Linked DNA regions of Caenorhabditis elegans. The protein of the gene in region 1 purifies or fractionates together with the protein of each later gene. This does not show direct contact. Each region holds a gene or a part of one and is shown in the gene's direction. Other genes may lie near its edges. The genes, in order: sgk-1, F58F12.1, vdac-1 and ant-1.1.

Region 1 (7,773 bases):
AGAAGGCAAATTTGTCATTTTGGAAAACACACACAGAGCCAAAGAAGAGCCACTCGGAGACTGGAAGCTTAAGAGAAAGATCGACGGAAAACGCGAGATCGTCTTCACCTTCCCATCCGACTACATCCTCCACCCATTCCAATCTGTCAAGGTTTGCGAATTTCTACTTCTTTCAGAAACAAGCCTAGCTACCCAGGACCTGTCGCGTATAAAACATTTCAAATTGGTGTCTCAGAATGAAATGTGTTGTTGTCTCTGTGTGTGTGTGTCGAATTGATAATCTAATGCGCGATTGCGTTTGGGTGTGGCAAGGTCATCCGTCCGTAATGACTAAAGGGGGGGTAACTTTGCTTCGAAAAAGAAAGATTGGGGATGTATGTAGGAGAAAAAGAAGGAATAAAAAGTGATAAACAAATTGATGGAAACTGTGAAGACAAACGTTGTTCACAGAAATCAATAAAAGGGACAGATGAGATGTGAGATTATTTAGGTCAGCTTTGAAAAAAAATGTTTTCAAATAAGGTTTGAATAAGAAATGAATTTGAAAGAAGCAATTATTTATTTAAAAGGTGGAGTAGCGCCAGTGGGGATTTTGTCTAAATGCACTTATAATGATCCAAAACAACCGAATATCATAATAAAACACTCCAAAATTTTTTTTAGATTTTTCATAATTTCCGGTCAAAGTTTTGGCAAATTCCCAAAAAATTTTAAAATACTAGCTTTTGAGGAAATTCAAAGAAATGTCGCATGTTTCGACCCCTACAATGTTTTAATACAAACAAAATTAAAACATAAAAAATGTCGAAAAAAAATTTTTTTTTTGATCGACTTCCAAAATTATGAGTGGCAAAAACTGAGTAATTGCCACTTTTTGACAGTAAATAAAAAATTTAAAAATTTTTTTTGAAAAGTTTTATCAAGATGTTTGGTCATTTTTGGACCAAAGGAGTGGTTTTTAACAATTTCCCGACTGGCGCTACTCCACCTTCAATCAATTTCATACAAAACATTTTTCATAAAAAAAAAAGAAATTCAAGTGAGGTGTTTTAACATTAAAAAAACCACTGTAAAGACAAATTTCTACATTTCCAGATCTTCGCCCGCGGACAAGGAATCGCCAATCCTCCAGAAGTGCTCATTTTCGAAGGTGACGAAACATTCGGTGTTGGCGCCAACGTTCAAACAATCCTTTACAACAATAAGGGAGAGGTAATTCAACCCCCAAAAATTTACGTGCAGAATAAAATGTTATTTTTTTCTTTGCAGGAGCGCGCGACACACATCCAACGTCAAAGCCAACAAACGACATCTTCCTAAATCTAGCTTTTTGCTTGAGCTATTTACTGTTTTCTTCTCTTTGTACCAGAAATCTGAACCCCAACTCTTTGCTGCCTGCCTGTTTGCATTTTTTCCGTTTGCTATATACTTTTTCACTTTTTTGTTTCTTTTTCCTCCGGTAACTTACTCATTTTCAACAATAAATACTTTATACAGATCAAAAAATTGCCATATGGAATGTTCATTTTTCATTTGAAACATTGATAGGAAAAGTAAGGTGGGGAAATATTAAAGGTGATAACGTGATCAAGAGCAAATAAGAAAGTCAGACGAATGGCTCGGTGAGCCGTGATAAGAAGACAAGGTCCAACCCAGCGATTCTAATCAGTTAACACGAGACAAGATACATCGAAAACCCACATTCGACCTGGTGGCGGTTATTCTAAATACGAGAGCATTACTGTGACAATGGGCAGCATGTATTATAATGGTGAGTCAAAGATTAAACCTGGCTGGTTCTGTGAAATGTTTGTATTTGTTTTAAGAAATTCAAAATCTGAAATGTCTTAAAAGTCTCAATTTTTTTAAATGGCTGATAAAATTTTGAAAACCTAGCTCTTCCAGATAAAACCTAGATTTCTGCCAACATGTCACAGTTGCGGCGGTCTGAAAACATTAGTTGATGGGTGCAAAAAATACTTCTTACTCCTGAAAACAACTTAATCAACGAAAAAAGTCATAACAATAAATATATTCATTAAAAATACATAGAAAAACAGAACATTCAATAAAATTTAATAAAAATCAATTTTGGGTAACTATGACAAACATAGGTTGACAAGTTAAAAATGTAGTTTTTTGTATTTTTTATTTTTTTCAGAAATAAAAATAAATTAAATTCGATATTTTGGGGTCATTTTGACCCAATTAAAAAATTAATCCAAATTTCGCTACTACACCTGTGAGAAGTTATCATAAATTTTTTTTAAAATGTGCTTTAAATGTGGAGTAGCGCCAGTGGGGGAAATTGTCAAAAACCACGCCTATGGTCTCAAATTAATGGAATATCAAAATAAAACTATTCAAAAAATTTTTGAAATTTTTTTTTTACTCTCAAAAAGTGACAATTATTTAGTTTTTACTCAAAATTTTGGAAGTCGTCCGAAAAAAAAAAGTTTTTCTACATTGTTTATACTGTGACTGTGTTTTAATTATTCACATTTAAACATTGTAGGGGTCTAAACATGCGGCCATGCTTCGGATTTCCTCACAAGCTCATATTTTTCGAAATTTGGCCATTTGCCAAAACTTTGACCGGAAATTATGAAAAGTCTAAAATTTTTGCAGTTTTTTATTATGATATTCTGTCGTTTTGGATCATAATAAGAGCATTTAGACAAAATCCCCATTGGCGCTACTTCACCTTTAAAATGCAGATAGATCATTAACTCAAACATAAACTTACTAGTTTTGAATTTTCATTATGAATTTAGATGTTTTTTAACAAACCTATAAATGCTCACAGGAAAATACAATGCATTAGGTTTTCCAAGAAATTATAATATAATGAACTCTTTCTGAAACATACTTCAGTCTTCATGATTTCAAAATCAAATTTTCCAATTCTGACATAAAATAATCCACTGGTCAAACGTAATGATTTGATAACGCATTTCTGTTTGACAGCTTAATTTTCATTTGAACTTTCATTTTCTGAAATCAAAACTGAATACGTTTTTTCAATTTATTACGTTTTACTTGTGTAGTATTAGAACTACAAAAAAGGTTTGCAATGGATTAAAATAATTATTTTTTATCATTGTGCCTATTTTGAGAGTTTCAAATAATTATTTTTATGCTTGAAAAAATAAAAAAATAGACATTTTCATTCATCTAATTTTTGAAATTAATTTATAAATTATTAATGGTTTAAATTTTTTCTTTAACGTATCTATATCATCTTGAAATATACCTCTTAACAATCTATTTACTTTGCATGCTTCTTTTTATGATTTCTATGATTCTTTCAAAATGCAAATAATGACGTCACTTTCTGCATCAACCGGAAGAAATTATGATGATGATATTTTTTTTTCCTTCTCTAGAAGTTTTTTACCCTTTCATTACCTCTAATGGAGTTGAGAAACCAGAGCCATACTACCTTTTCCAATTTTCTTTTCAACATAAGTTTCATGTCAAAAAGTGCTTATGCAGTATTGATAAGTGTAGTGAAACTCTCTCAAAGGACTGATAAGGCCGAAGAAAAAGTCATGATCTGCTTCCCGGAAATAGCAATCGATTTTTATTGACGAGTTTTAGTTATGCTCATTAATTTATTTTTTTATTGATATCGATAAATGTTTTAATATAATTTAATTTTGAATATTTCAGAGTCGAGAATGGTGAGGAAAGATGAGGTGACATGCAATGTTATTATAGGAGATGATAAGAAAACTGTGGTAAGTTAGAGAGCATTAAGATTAATTTAAAGAGTTTTAAAAATAAATATTATCTCATTTTTTGTCCGTAAAGTATAATGTGATGCAGGGATAGGCGGAAAAAAATTTTGTCGACAAATTCGGCAAATCGTCAAATTGCCGGTTTTCCCGATTTGCCGGAGATTTTCAATTCCGACAATTTACCGGTTTGCCGAGTTGCCGGAAATTTTCTTTTTTGGCAAATTGTCGGTTTTCCGTCTGCCGGATATCAAGTTTGCCGGAAATGTCTAGAGGGATTTTTATAAGACGGAAACACATGAAAATTGGCCCTTTTTGAAACTTTTTCCCGTTTTCTTTAGCTATTTACATAGAAGTTGTTCAATTTTCAAAATATATGTTGGAACATGCGTACAATTTTTCCGATTAAAATTGAAATTCTGAAATTTTTTAAAAATGTGCAAAACCACAATTTGCCAAACATTTTTGGCAATTGTCGTTTTTCCGGCAAGTTCGGCAAATCGGCAATTTGCACGTTTTCAATTCCGGCAACTTGCAATTTATAGATTTACCGTGTTCACTTTTGAGATTTGTGTGTTCCACAAGAAATATTTTAAAGTTTACACGTTCAGTTTCAATTATAAAACATTTTTCCTGAAGACTACACGGCGAGTAACTATAATAGAAAATTACAAATTTGTCACACATGCCCAAATCAGAAATATTTTTTTAAATACACTTGACGAGTTTTCAAATAAAATTATATTTTCAGGTTTACGCGCTCCGTATCGGAAATGGCCCAATTATGCAAAAAACGTTTGAAGAATATGAAAGATTTTTTACAACTGTCAGTTTTTTCAAGTTTTTATTTTCCAACTTTTTATTGACTTTCAGGAAAAGGATATGATCCCGGCTACAATTTTCACTGCGCCGAAAAAGAAGTTCCTGCAAGCTGACAGCAAGTTCTACGAGAAAAGACGTGTTTGGATCCTTGTGATTAGTCAGCATCTTGTTGATAATAATTTAAGAAGGTAATGAGATTAATTTATGTTGGATAGTTTATAATTCTTTGATTACAATGATTACAGTGAGGATGTCCGTCGGTTCTTCCATCTCGAAAGTCCGGATGATGATGAGAATAATGTTGATCTCGGACCAAGTGAGAGGAAAACGTATGTTTTGGCCATAAGGATTTGCGGTAAATCGCCAAAGTTGCACATATTGAAGTAGAGCTCCCAGCTGAGTGATGCGCAAAATGCGGACCTCACCCCGACGCCACCGTGTGTTTGCAATGAAGTTCGAAATGTAGTTATTTGGAGCGTCCGACATGTTCGGGGTTCCGCAGCTTGGTCGTGAAATAAGTAGCTTGGTGTGTGCGCAACGTAGTGTGAAGAGATGGTTGTTTGGAAGCGGCCGACACGTTCGGGGTTCCGCGCAACATTATACATTCGCATACATCCGTCTTGCGCGACGACCTCATGGGAGACCTATATTAAATACTTTTGATTTTTTTCCCCGAACGTTTGCAATGAGCTTCTAATTTTGTTTCATCTGCTCTTAAAATAGCTACGTTACCAAGTTTTTGAAATTTTTCCAATCTTTGAAACAAGACATCCATTTTTGATTCGTTCCAAAATAGGAAGTGTTGCTTATTTTCCGAAAATTTTGGCTTTCCCATCTCATGTTGACCTATTTTTGTCGACTCAAAATTTTTCGACCAACAGTATAATTTTTATGGAAATTTTAGAAACCAGAGTTTCATATATACGTTGCAAGACTTTTTGCCTCTAGCAGTTTATTTTCAGAGCCACCGCCAATGATTTCGATTATCTGACAACTATCGGAAAAGGAAGCTTTGGAAGAGTTTACCAAGTCAGGCACAAGGAGACCAAAAAAATCTACGCCATGAAAATTCTGTCCAAGGAACATATCAGAAAAAAGAACGAGGTATTGATTAGTGTTACAAGTTTTTGGAACATAAGTAGCAAATACGTTTTTAAGGTGAAACACGTCATGGCAGAAAGAAATGTGCTCATTAACAACTTTAAGCACCCTTTCCTTGTTTCACTTCACTTTTCGTTCCAAAATAAGGAGAAGCTGTATTTTGTGCTCGATCACTTGAACGGAGGAGAGGTACCTATTCCATGTGTTTAGATTAATATAGGGAAGAATGGACTCGATAGAAAACTTATAAAACTTTCAAAATGTGGCATTTCAGCTTTTCTCTCACCTCCAACGCGAGAAACATTTTTCCGAGTCGAGAAGTCGTTTTTACGCGGCCGAGATTGCATGTGCTCTGGGTTATCTTCACGAGAAAAACATTATCTACAGGTAGCGATTTACTTGCTTTCAAAAAAAGAAACCTCTAAATTGGTTTGGCAATATGCAAATATAAATTTACATTCCAGAGATTTGAAGCCTGAAAACCTTCTGTTGGACGATAAAGGTTACTTGGTGCTCACCGACTTTGGGCTCTGTAAAGAAGATATGCAAGGAAGCAAGACAACTTCCACATTTTGTGGGACGCCGGAGTACTTGGCCCCGGAAATTATTCTGAAAAAGCCTTACGACAAGACTGTTGACTGGTGGTGTTTGGGATCGGTTCTCTATGAAATGATTTTTGGATTGGTAAGGATTGCCGAGTTGGCATAAACTTGAAATACACAATCTGAAATATTATAGCTGGTTTATTAAAAAATATGATGACTAGTTTTATAATTAGTAGTTACAACTGCAATTTTCTTCCGCTTTTCGTAGAGCTTAGCGCAATAGAACTCTGCCGACTTTTGTTCCAATGACCTTCTCTAAAAGTTTTACATAACCTATTTACCATATTTTTTCTATTAGTACAGCCCTGATGTGTAATTCAGACTAGAAACTTAAAATTGCTTCTTCTTTTGCTTCTTCTTTTTGTTCTGTGATTTTCCCAAAACCACAGAACACAAAATATTACATAGTTCAAGCTAAAATTGCTGATTTGATTTATTTCCCTGACATAACTTTCTTAATCTGCTCCCCCCCCCCCCAAAAAAGAGCAATCATTTCAGCCTCCATTCTACTCAAAAGATCATAACGAGATGTACGACAAGATCATCAACCAGCCACTTCGTCTCAAGCACAACATCTCTGTGCCATGCAGTGAGCTCATCACCGGGCTCTTGCAAAAAGACCGTTCAAAGCGTCTGGGCCATCGCAATGATTTCCGTGACATTCGTGATCATCCATTCTTCCTTCCGGTTGATTGGGATAAGCTTCTGAATCGTGAGCTTAAGGCTCCGTTCATTCCGAAAGTGAAAAACGCAATGGATACATCCAATATTTCAAAGGAGTTCGTGGAGATTCAAATTGATCCATGTAAGATATATGTACAATAATTGGCATAATTAAGGATGGTTGGGGATAGAACTGGCATATTTCCGGTCATCGCGTCCGGTTTTGGAATTTTGAGAATTTTCCGAAGGTAGTTTTTCACGGCGGCCGACAATTTCCGAGTTTAGCCACTCATTATCGAATTATGTATATGATTAAGTATAGTGAGTGGCCAAACTCGGAAATTGTCGGCCGCCGTGAAAACTACTTTTTCTGAAAATTTTTTAAAATTCCAAAACCGGACCCCAAATATGCCAGCCCTAGTTGGGGAGAAGGGTTGGTTCCAATAAGAATGTAAAAATTTGTAGTAACTAATCTTAGTTCAACGCTCTATTCAAAGTGACATCTAATATGTAGTAAGACCAAATCTTGTAATGAGAGGTCTTCAAAAATTTCATTTTTCTTCAAAAACTTCCTTTTTCTGTACGGTTTCTTTTCAAAATCAAAAAGAACAGTCTCAATATACCGAAAATGACTGCGAAAAAATTTGAAACATTTTTTTCATTTTTTTAAAAACTGTTTTCAAACTTTCCAAAACTTTTTAAAAAGCCTCATTTTTCAAGCCCACGTCTTTTGATTCCTTTTGTTTCTCGGCAAAGTTTATTAGTTTCTTTTTCGGTTTTTGATCTCATTAAAATGTCTAATTTTAATAGAAGCCCAAATAAAATATTAAGATGAAATGAGCTGA
Region 2 (3,212 bases), on another chromosome or scaffold:
AATAGTATTGAGAAAATTTTTTACCTACCTAAAGGTTGCGTCTCTCTCTCCGAAACTTGTAGAAGAATGGCTGCTCACTCCAAACCGGAATTATCTGTTGTTTTGGATGCATAGTTTTTAAAAGGCAGGTCTTAAAAATCCAATCCCTAACTTCTCTGCATGCACAAACTTTAAAAGTAGCTACAGTAATATTTTCACATGATAACCTGCATTAGGAGTGTTAACCCTAACCACAAACTTTATCATTGACTATGTGTCTAGTTACAATGACCAAACAACTGTGTGTGTTTCTTTAATAGGATTCTAATAGAATGTTAAATATCTAATGGCGAATTCGTGATTTCAGGTGAATTTATTTAGTTCCGGACACAAGCCTAAACAGAAAGTTCACAAAAGTTAGTCATGATGATCTTTTATCTTCAGTTGCAAACTTTTTCTCCACGGTTTCATGATTTTGAAGCTTCTTTTTATTTTAGAGATATCAAAATGTTGTCGATCTACTTACTCACTGCACAAAAAGGTTATTATGTAGTTTAAAATAAATTTTCGTTGGGCAGAATGAGGGATGATATATTATTACTGTTTCCCGGTATCCACTTGATGAGCATGCGACCTCTCTGTCCAGAAGCCAAACTTTCAATAACATCTACAGTATGTACTGTATTTTGCAATCACTTATAAAAACTGAAAACTGAGAAGAACCATAAATCATACATTTCCCGCATGTTTCTACTCAATTGATAACCGGATTATCACATTTCTTTACTATTACTATGAAATGACACGCAGTTGCAACAAACTTCAAATATTTGATAAGTTTCAGTCAATTCAGCAGAAAACGCACCAACACACATGTTCTGCTTCAGGTGAAGGAAACACGTAAAAAGTCACGTGGCTTATTCAAATGTTCAAATGAGTCGTATTTTGCAAAGTGTATCGAAATGCTACGCAATGTAGTGAATAATATAGTAAGTTAAGTGAAACCTACAAATCATGTATACAATTTTCAAAAATTTCCATATATTCTTCCCTGCGTACAATTCGAGAAAGGAGCAATCTACTTTAATGGTTAAGATTTTTTCAATCAGTAGCTTCAATAGTGTACTCTATTGCTGTTTAGATACGTCTTCAAATAAAGTTTATTTAAAAAATATGTTTTCTCTATTGTAATAGTTCTATAATTTCAAAAATTATTCCAATTAGCTACATTTCAATAAATATCAAAAATTCTACGCTTCTTAGTTGAAAATCTCCAATTACATTCGCTGTTTCATATTTAACATACGTTTCATTAAATCTTCAGGCATTTTTTAACCTTCGCCAAGATGGCCTAGTTTTTCCCGATGGCCGCGGACTAGCCATTAGGGGATGCAAACACGCTCCGTTGGACGACGGGCGATCTCGATTTTTATTCACCTTTTTTTAACAAAAAATCTCTGTTTTCAACTGTTTTGGGAAGTTTTTTCAGTTAATTTTCGTTATTAAAAATTGAAAAAAGTATTCGACTATATGTCTACGATTTTTACTATTGTTTGTTCCCCAAATACAATCTATTCCTCCGATTTTTTCATTTATAATTCTTAATACACATATTGACCTTCTAAAAATCAATCAAACAATGTTATCATTTCAGAGGGTAAGATGTTGGCTCGTACTATCCAAAGATTCTCGGTTGTTGCCAAGCGCGGATACGCCGCTGCCGCTCCAGCTGCCAACGCCAACCCAGAGGAGCTTCGTCTCACTTTCGCCTCCCCAGACACCGTGAGTAAATATTATTTGAAAACATTATTTGAAAATCAATTTACAGGCTGTCTTCAGCAATGCTGTCGTCAAGCAGGTTGATGTGCCAACTTTGGCCGGTATGGTTGGTGTTCTTGCCAATCACGTCCCAACCATTGGAGTTTTGAAACCAGGAGTTGTCTCTGTCACCACAAATGAAGGTTTATTTTGCAAAAATAAATTGTATTATCACCAAAGAATTTTTCAGGAACAGTTCAACGCCTTTTCGTCTCTTCGGGAACCCTCTCCGTGAACATCGATGGATCATGCCAAGTTCTTGCTGAGGAGGTCCTGAAAGTTGAAGAAATTGATGAGTCTGCTGCCCGCGCCGAGCTTGATGCTGCCCAAAGAGCCTCCGGAGAAGGAAGCGAGGTTGCTCGTGCTGAAGCTCAAATTCGCGCTGAAGTAAGTGTTCGAAAAAGTTTTAAAAACCAAAAAAAAATACAAGAAACGAATATCGTTTGGTTTCAGCAAAGTTAAGCATTTCGTAATATTTTTATTATCAAAATGATTCTGTGCTTCGATACTAAAACTGAGACCAGGACATAAAGTTGAGGGTCATAAAAGTAGTTCTCTGAAATGAATATGTCTTTAAGTTTTGTTTCAAAACAAGGGAATTTTTCAGGTTGCTGAAGCATTGATCAAGGCCGCCACGAACCAGCAATAAGGAGTATGTTGAGAGTAGACCCTTTAACTTTGGTAAATTCCTTTTTAATTTGATCCTAGGCACATCGTCAATTTCTCTCGATGCTGCTTATAGGATATTATGTACGGCCCTCCCTTTTTTTGTTTTCATTGTTCCATCGTTTCCAATAAATTTCGAGACTTTTAGTTTTTGACTTTTATTTTTCCAATTTTCTGATTTAGTGATATTTATAGTAGAAATGAACATTCGATCCTTCATCCAAGTAATTATATCAAACAAGAGAAAATTCTGAAAATGTATGTAAACTGGAATACCAATTCCATGAGTTTAAAACAATTACAATCTACAGCAATACGTACCCTAAAATGAAATAGAATTAGTATTTCCTTATGTTTACCAAAAAACGGAAACCTCGGGTTCGATTCAATTCATGCGCTAATCGAAAATGGTTGTTCAAAAAGCGAAATTGAACGAAAAAAATCGTAAGTGATGATGCCATTCAGAAGAATCTGCAACATTTGAAGAGGAAACCCAAGGAGGATTCGGCTTTTTCAAAGTGATGAAAGTTGAGATACAAATTGGAATTGTCTTTTTTATCGACAAACCCACTTTAAATGCCATTTACAGACACGATGGGAGGATAGACAACAAACTTCAAAAATCATATGAACACTTTTCTGAATCAAAATAATTATTCACCAATTTTCCACCATTTTTAGTAAATAGCTAATATTAGTTTGAATATCAAACTTCTTTTATTAAAATTGGAGCTTTATTTATTCAAACC
Region 3 (3,903 bases), on another chromosome or scaffold:
CGAACGACTTTGTTGGAGAATTCTCAATTCCTGTTATGAGTCTTCGTACAGGTTTCTCGCAAATTCAACTAAATACCGGATATCAACATACTCTGGACCCATCTGCATCTCTTTTTGTACGAATTGCAATGGAGGAAGAGTACTAATTCTCCTGCTTTTTAAACATATTTTTGAGACCAAAGCCGTTTTTATCACTACCTGTGTGTTATCTGATTACATGTAATATATGTTCTACTGCCCTTTCTTTCGCATAGTTTTGTAGTTAATTTTTAATGCATATTTTTAAAAAATTTATTGTTTTATTGGTTTATGGGTATTTACACTATATTATTTTTTAGAAACATAAACTTATTGGCGTAGTTGGTGTAGATAATCTGCGAGCCATTTCTGAAAGAGTCAAAAAAATCATGTTACTAAATGGTGTATTCGAAAACAAACAATTGGATTATCCGGTCTCTCAACTGCTACGCGAGCCAGTCCCTGGCTCAGTTTCGGCCATACTTCTACTGAGAGATAATCCTTGGCATGTTTCAGCATTGCTCTTTCGTCAATGTCTGAATATATTTTTATGGGAGAGTCAAAATTCTAACTTTATGGAATCTTACACTTGGGGAAAAAGAAAATTATATCGTGATAGGCGGCAATTGTCGTTTTTGAATAATATATTCCATCACTTGAACTCATTCTGAATTAAACGCTTGTGAAGTTTTAAAACTCTTCGGATAGATTTTTTGAAAAACCTCCAAAAGTGTGAAGGTTTCGTACCGAAACGAGACTACGGTAACGGTTATTTTCAACTGTGCGCAATGTTTTTCTTCCATTGTTTTTCAGTATTTTCGGATGTTTGTTGGTCTTTGCTCACCTCTTAGCGATCACATTGTGATATTTGGCCACTTCTTTCATCTCAATAAAAGCATTCGCTCGTTGACACAATAGTAACATGCATGGTCCGTCTATTAGCCTGTCTGATAAGTTCCAGATATCTTGGGATTCAAGATCAGCACTTTTCCACTCCATGACTTCTTCAGTTTTAAAATGCTTCACAGTTTTCTAAATAATCAGTTTCTTCTTCTTTAATTTTCATATATACAACTTACCTCTATAATCCCGAAGTTTTCTTTTGTTATGTGCTTCAGTACGGATTCATATTCATAGAAATAGTTCGGCAGAATAATTACAATTATTCTATCGACTAGGTTTGGATTTTCCAGTTGTGGCTTAGAGACTTCCGAGCGGTACATTTCGAATAGGTTAGATGCAAGTGACAGAAGTGAACTGAATTCGCTGAACCAGGTGATGCGGAAACTATTTGGATTTGTGCTCAATTTCCGGTACCATTTCCTGGTTTAACGCTAAATTTGAGATTTCTTGCTAATTTCATTTTGTTTCGTTAGTCAATATTTCTTTCATTGCATCAAATCTTTTCTTCTCAGTGCATCATTCAATTTTGAAAAACTGCCAAAATAATCCAGTACTTTTGGAAGCGGAGCGGTCGCGCTGCAGTAACCAGTCTCTGTGCCTCTCATTTTCGTCCTATGTCTCGAGACGGGCGGTCGCCGCGCCAATGTGCTTGCCTTTGAACTCTCAATTTGCTGTTGTGGCGTGATCTGTCCTTTCTCTATCGCATTCAATGTTTTCGATACCGTCGGAGTTTTATGTTACAAATGTTTGCTTCTGAATTTCCCGATAAGATAATTGTAAATCATTTAACTGAAACCCTGAATATATTTTTTGGCGATGTTGTGTTTTCTGGCGCATTGTTTATCGACTTCCTACTGCTGCCATTGAGTTGGTTTATCTCTTTCTTTCCGTTTTTCTCGTATGCACTGCTCAATGCAAACATTTTCAAAGCCTTCATTTTTCGAAAATTTCCTATTTTCCTTCTCTCGTGTAACTCTAGAATGCATGTTTCAAAAAATATTTTGTGTTTAGAAAATGGCCCCACCAACCTTCGCTGATCTTGGAAAGTCCGCCAAGGACCTCTTCAACAAAGGATACAGTAAGTTTCAATTTTATCTTTGTAGAGAGGAATAGTGTTAGGTCATTTATTCGCCTGATTAATTTTTTTCCAGACTTTGGATTCCTCAAGATCGACTCCACCACTAGAGCTGGAGACAACAAGGAGGTTGAGTTCAAATCAGCCGCTTCTCACAATATCGGATCCGGAAAGCTTGGAGGAAATCTCGATGTCAAGTACAAGATCCCACAATACGGTAAGCTCGTCTGAACATCTTATTGTCTACCCGCTAGATGGGGACAACCTCGTGACGCAGGTGATGCAATTGTATGTACTCTAAAACACCACGTGACGTCTAGCGACCGCTCAACAAAAATACAACATATTGTGTGAGAGATATCAATCATGTTGTTTCGTTTTCAGGAATCACTTTGACCGAGAAATGGAACACCGAGAACCAGCTCGGAACTGTTATCGAAGTTAATGAGCAATTCGGACGTGGACTCAAGGTCACTCTCGATTCTCTTTATGCCCCACACGCCGGAAAGAGAAGCGGAAAAGTGAAGCTCGACTGGGCTCTCCCAACTGCTAGAGTGAGTAGTCTTGTACATATTTTGGGTGATAAGATTGGCGAAGCTCGTCTCAAGCTTGACTGGAAGCATGATTGTTTCAGGGTTCGATTTTCTGAATGTAGAAATAGAGATTTCAAAAATCCATCTTTGTGAAATGAAACAAATTAGCCATTTACAGGTTACCGCTGATGTTGGAGTCACCTCTGCTCCAGTTATCAACGCTGCCGGAGTCTTCTCCCGTGACGGATGGCTCATCGGAGCTGCCGCCACCTTCGATTCTTCATCGAATAAGTTGGCAGCCACTTCTTTGGCTTTCGGACACTCCACTCCACAATACACCCTCCACTCTTTCGTTATTAACTCAACCGACTTCGGAGCTTCCCTTTACCACAAGGTTGCCTCCAACGTCGAGGTTGGAACTCAACTCGGATGGAAGGTAAACTTTTTAAAATCCTAGAACCAAAACTAAAGTGAATTTTCAGGTTGGTGGAAACGGAGCTGACTACGCTCTCGCCACCAAGTATGCTCCAAGCCGTGACCTTACTGTCCGCGCCAAGGTCAACAGCTCTTCCCAAGTTGCCGTTGCTGCCACACACTCCTTGTCTCCAGCTCTTAAGCTGACACTTTCCACTCAATTCAACCTTGCTGCCAATGATGCTCACAAGTTCGGACTTGGACTCGAATTCGATCCATCCAACTAGATCTTCCGATCACTTCCATTCTCCCATCAATAGCGTTCTTAAAATTCTTTTAGTCCTCAACCGTTGATTTTTCAATGTCGATTTATGTTCTCTAAACTTCGAAAAAAAAGAAATGTCATGCGCTATTTACTTTTCTGCTAAATTTTACAAACATAAATTATTGAGTTTCATCAGTGGCTTAAAATAGTAAAAATGATATGTACAAAACAATCCATGGGTTCTCGCGGAAAGAGGAGAGAATAACCGTTTTCTGTTTTGGAATGGAAAAGTGACATGGACAAAAAATGTAAATATTGATCATGGAACTACACGTTTTCATCGTTGGGCAGAGGTGTGTATGGTGGTTCAATGTTATTATTACGCCAGGAAAGATGCAAGTTGGTGGATGAAGGACGACGAGAGCCAATTCGTGATCCAATTCTTGAGTTTCCAGCTGTGTTCGCGTGTGTCAAGAAGAGCTCCTTAGAAGCTTCTGACATTGTGAATGATGGTCTTCTACTGGTGGCAGCTGACTTCAATAGTTCAATTTCTCCTTTCAGTTCAGTCTTATAATCGTGACGAGCGTCTGCTTGATCCAGCTTTTTCTTAAAATATACAATTGTCTCCAAGTTCGAGTTTTCTATCAAACCTGCAATAAATGCTGAACCATTGAAGCAGCAAACGCATCCCCTAG
Region 4 (3,961 bases), on another chromosome or scaffold:
CTCCGTTCATGAAATCTTGAGAGTGAGAAACCACCAACAAGGTTCTTTTATACTGAGCGAGTTCCTCCTCAAGCCACACACAAGCTTCCAAATCCAAATGATTGGTCGGTTCGTCGAGAAGTAAGACTGACGGTTTCAGGAAAAGTGCACGAGCGAGAGCAATGCGCATTCTCCATCCTCCAGAAAAATCTTTACATTTTTTCATTTGCATAGTTTTTGTGAATCCAAGTCCGTGCAAAATTTCGGCAGCCTTCTTTTCAGCGAGAGATGCATCCATTTCATCCAGCCTTTCGTAAACATCCATCAGCTTGTCCTGACTTTCCTCATCAGTCTGACTAGCAAGCTGCTCGGCAAGATGTTCCAACTCTTTTCTGACTGAATCGACATCAACGACCGCTTGAAGAGCAGTTTTCTCTGAAGCAGGCATTTCACGGGATACGAGGTACATATCCACGGACTCTGGGATTGGCATTTCCTTGTTGTAGATTGCCTGAATGATGGTAGACTTTCCAGATCCGTTCAATCCGATGAGTCCGTAACGACGTCCACGGTTGAGTTCGAGTTTCGTGTCAACGACAATTTCACGACCGTGGAATGTAATCTGAATGAAAACAAAGTTACTTGTTGGAGTCGCCAATTAAAAACCACTTACCGTCAGGCTTTCTACTCTGTGATCAAGACCCTTTGGATCGGAAGTCAATGATCCGGCGACTGAACGAGCAGCAGCGTTTTCCAATTCGATTTTGGCCAAGGTGGCGGCGGCCTGATCGAGCTCCTCGTCTAAACAGCAGAGACTGTTGACGGACGGATGTTGAGATGACATGGCGGTTGGTGTTTCTACCTGGAAATGAGATGATTATTATTTGTTAAACAAAAAAAAACTAAAAATCAATTGCTCACCTTCTTTTTTCCTTTTCCTCCTTTGGCGGCAGCCTTCTTAGCGGCCTCGCGTGCTTTCTTCGCATCAGACGGCATTGTTGTCCAGCAGTGATGCGGATGGGGTACCCTAAATTTTTATTTATTTATCTCTCAAATACACGGAAAAAGCGACGGATAAAAAATACGAGAGCGAAAATTCACATAAACTAGACGAGAAATCCTCAAAAAAAGCAGGAAAAGAAATATTATTTCAACGAAGCGAAGGCCTTTGGCATGGCACAGTGATCCAAATGGTGAACGTAGTCAGCCATCTCCTGATGGCAGGTCTCCTCAGTGTTAGAACGAGAGTTGACACGATCGTTGCACTCGTCGAGAATACTCTTGAATTCGGTGACATGGTCGGCACATCGCTCACGGTATTGAGTAAGTTGATCGACGTCAGCCTCGAGTGGCTCTTCCTTGTGGCTCGACATACTGATACCCGAAAAAAATTCCATGATAGTGACAAGTCATTGGCTCGATGAGAAGAGAAATATGAAGAAAACTACTTTAAAGCGATTCGAAAAACCGGTCATACCAAACTCCCGTAGGCATAAATTAGCCACAATGCGATATCGATTTTTTTCGGAACATTGAGGTTACGAATAACCAGTTATCTACAGTGTAAATAAACAAAAAACACTTCAAGTACTGCTTATCACTAATACACTATTGTGTTTGCTTTGACATGGCTCATAATTTTCATAAAAACTGAAACTTTCGCAATTAAGTTACTTTCTTGGAGTTATGACCTATTTTTCGAAAATAAATCACGTTTTTTTAATAAAACAAAACGTGAAAAATTCAGGAATGAAGGAACGAACACGTTTAGAAAAGAAAAATACGAAAAATCGATAACAAAACTGATATTTAGGCTCAAAATATGCAAAAAATCCCAAAACTGGGCGGTCAGAGAAAACTAGTGTTTGAATCGCCGCGCCTGACGCACCGTACTTGCGAGCGTGGCGAGACCTGCAAAGTGCCTCACGGGCTGTGCGCGCACCCCGTTTCGACGGGCGGCCGTCTTCCCACTATTGCTTCTGGCAAGCACCGACCACCGAGGTCCTTCAATCTTGAATCATGTCCAAAGAAAAGTCCTTCGACACCAAAAAGTTCTTGATCGATCTCGCCTCAGGAGGTAAGCTTTTTCAGTTTTTATTGCAAAAATTTGGAGGATTTCTATAATTATTAATTTTGGGTTTTCATTCGTCAAATTTGTGATTTAATTAATTTTGTTTTCTTTTAGGTACCGCTGCTGCCGTCTCCAAGACCGCTGTTGCCCCAATTGAGCGTGTCAAGCTTCTCCTCCAGGTGTGTGATGAAACTTTTTTCCACTATAAATATGAAAAATTTTAGGTCCAAGATGCTTCCAAGGCTATCGCCGTTGACAAGCGTTACAAGGGAATCATGGATGTTCTCATCCGTGTCCCAAAGGAGCAAGGAGTTGCTGCCCTCTGGAGAGGAAACCTCGCTAACGTCATCCGGTACTTCCCAACTCAGGCCATGAACTTCGCCTTCAAGGACACATACAAGGCAATCTTCCTTGAGGGACTCGACAAAAAGAAGGACTTCTGGAAGTAAGTTAAACATTGCATTATTGTTTTTAGAAAATTTCACATTTGAAATTCAGGTTCTTCGCAGGAAACTTGGCTTCCGGAGGAGCTGCTGGAGCCACCTCCCTCTGCTTCGTCTACCCACTCGACTTTGCCCGTACCCGTCTTGCTGCTGATATTGGAAAGGCCAACGACCGTGAATTCAAGGGACTTGCTGACTGCCTTATCAAGATCGTGAAATCCGATGGACCAATCGGACTCTACAGAGGATTCTTCGTCTCCGTGCAAGGAATTATCATCTACCGTGCCGCATACTTCGGAATGTTCGATACCGCCAAGATGGTCTTCGCTTCTGATGGACAGAAACTCAACTTCTTCGCCGCTTGGGGAATTGCTCAAGTTGTCACAGTCGGATCTGGAATCCTTTCCTACCCATGGGACACTGTTCGTCGTCGTATGATGATGCAGTCTGGACGCAAGGATATCCTCTACAAAAACACCCTCGATTGCGCAAAGAAGATCATCCAAAACGAAGGAATGTCCGCTATGTTCAAGGGAGCCCTCTCCAACGTCTTCCGTGGAACCGGAGGAGCCCTCGTCTTGGCCATCTACGACGAAATCCAGAAGTTCCTTTAAATTTGATAACACTTTGATAATTTTTACCTTGTCATTGTCCAACAAAATCTCGTTATGTAGCTTGTTTTAGCAAAGTAGTTCACCTAGCTACTATGTTAAGTTTTCAAAAATAAAGCGAGCCACATAAAAAGTTTTAAATCCTCTATTAAAGTTTTCCCCTTTTCAAATTCTCATTCTTTCCCTCAACACCCCGATTGAACATTCGTTAGGATAGCCCCTTTATCTGGACTCGGTTTGACAATCTCGGTTATTGCACCTGTGTTTGCCGTTGATCTTTAAAATTACTCGAACAACAATAAAACGTTGTTGATTTTCCCTTCGTTCAATTATGTGCCACAGAAAGATTTCAAACCGTAGCCGTTTATTAACGATGAGATTTTGTTTCGCAAGCAATGAGGTTCATTTGGGGTCAGTGGGGGAAGTGAATGCCAGGGAAAGCGAGAAAACAATGTGAGTAGGAAAGTGCAATAGTGAATAGTTAGACGTCAGAAGTGTCTGCGAAGTACGCATGGCGTAGAGCTGCATCGGCATCGATTCTTCCTGCTGGATTGCAAACAAGAAGTTTCTGCAAATACTTCGAGTTTGAGTAAGTATAATTTTTATTGGAAAAAAGTTACCTGTAAAAGATCACGGCCACGTGAATTCAAATTAGGTACGATTTGGCTCCATGTAAGCGTTGGATGGTAGATTGGGTAGGGCTGAAAAATGGTATGTTATACTTGTGTGTTCCTATAATGCAATGGAATTCAATTAATTATTGTCAATCTTAAATCTAGAACAGTTGTCTCTGCTTCTCTAAATCTACTCAATACTCTGTTCTCTGTCCTGTCCCAGCCGCCCGTGATTGTATGAAT

The links.
Region 2: the proteins of sgk-1 (region 1) and F58F12.1 purify together in Caenorhabditis elegans (affinity purification with mass spectrometry, with the first as the bait; one study listed by BioGRID). This does not show direct contact.
Region 3: the proteins of sgk-1 (region 1) and vdac-1 purify together in Caenorhabditis elegans (affinity purification with western blotting; one study listed by BioGRID). This does not show direct contact.
Region 4: the proteins of sgk-1 (region 1) and ant-1.1 purify together in Caenorhabditis elegans (affinity purification with mass spectrometry, with the first as the bait; one study listed by BioGRID). This does not show direct contact.

Annotation. Positions count from the first base shown.
Region 1 is NC_003284.9:16,256,028-16,263,800, reverse strand, and holds the start of sgk-1 (Serine/threonine-protein kinase sgk-1), read left to right. Parts: upstream 1-1,749; coding exon 1,750-1,771; intron 1,772-3,672; coding exon 3,673-3,740; intron 3,741-4,488; coding exon 4,489-4,563; intron 4,564-4,610; coding exon 4,611-4,747; intron 4,748-4,804; coding exon 4,805-4,888; intron 4,889-5,521; coding exon 5,522-5,663; intron 5,664-5,717; coding exon 5,718-5,849; intron 5,850-5,934; coding exon 5,935-6,047; intron 6,048-6,124; coding exon 6,125-6,344; intron 6,345-6,763; coding exon 6,764-7,070; intron 7,071-7,773. Other genes in the region: mua-6 (Intermediate filament protein ifa-2), read left to right, coding at 1-151, 1,096-1,212, 1,270-1,320. UniProt on the Caenorhabditis elegans protein: Acts downstream of PI3 kinase age-1 and kinase pdk-1 in the daf-2/insulin receptor-like transduction pathway. Essential role in regulating development, stress response, and longevity.
Region 2 is NC_003280.10:6,382,012-6,385,223, forward strand, and holds F58F12.1 (ATP synthase subunit delta, mitochondrial), read left to right. Parts: upstream 1-1,633; 5' UTR 1,634-1,641; coding exon 1,642-1,761; intron 1,762-1,807; coding exon 1,808-1,940; intron 1,941-1,987; coding exon 1,988-2,184; intron 2,185-2,404; coding exon 2,405-2,446; 3' UTR 2,447-2,681; downstream 2,682-3,212. UniProt on the Caenorhabditis elegans protein: Mitochondrial membrane ATP synthase (F(1)F(0) ATP synthase or Complex V) produces ATP from ADP in the presence of a proton gradient across the membrane which is generated by electron transport complexes of the respiratory chain.
Region 3 is NC_003282.8:7,505,921-7,509,823, reverse strand, and holds vdac-1 (putative voltage-dependent anion-selective channel), read left to right. Parts: upstream 1-1,932; 5' UTR 1,933-1,935; coding exon 1,936-1,999; intron 2,000-2,072; coding exon 2,073-2,213; intron 2,214-2,380; coding exon 2,381-2,550; intron 2,551-2,707; coding exon 2,708-2,965; intron 2,966-3,011; coding exon 3,012-3,230; 3' UTR 3,231-3,403; downstream 3,404-3,903. Other genes in the region: plc-4 (Phosphoinositide phospholipase C), read left to right, coding at 1-146; R05G6.5 (Uroporphyrinogen-III synthase), read right to left, coding at 349-387, 439-554, 606-685, 863-1,050, 1,098-1,241; Putative sodium-dependent excitatory amino acid transporter glt-6, read right to left, coding at 3,536-3,814, 3,859-3,903. UniProt on the Caenorhabditis elegans protein: Forms a channel through the cell membrane that allows diffusion of small hydrophilic molecules. Plays a role in maintaining mitochondrial morphology.
Region 4 is NC_003281.10:13,461,233-13,465,193, forward strand, and holds ant-1.1 (ADP/ATP translocase), read left to right. Parts: upstream 1-1,930; 5' UTR 1,931-1,998; coding exon 1,999-2,056; intron 2,057-2,164; coding exon 2,165-2,229; intron 2,230-2,274; coding exon 2,275-2,495; intron 2,496-2,548; coding exon 2,549-3,107; 3' UTR 3,108-3,420; downstream 3,421-3,961. Other genes in the region: abcf-2 (ABC transporter domain-containing protein), read right to left, coding at 1-601, 653-841, 901-975; T27E9.2 (Cytochrome b-c1 complex subunit 6), read right to left, coding at 1,125-1,352; cdk-5 (Cyclin-dependent-like kinase 5), read right to left, coding at 3,586-3,672, 3,725-3,805.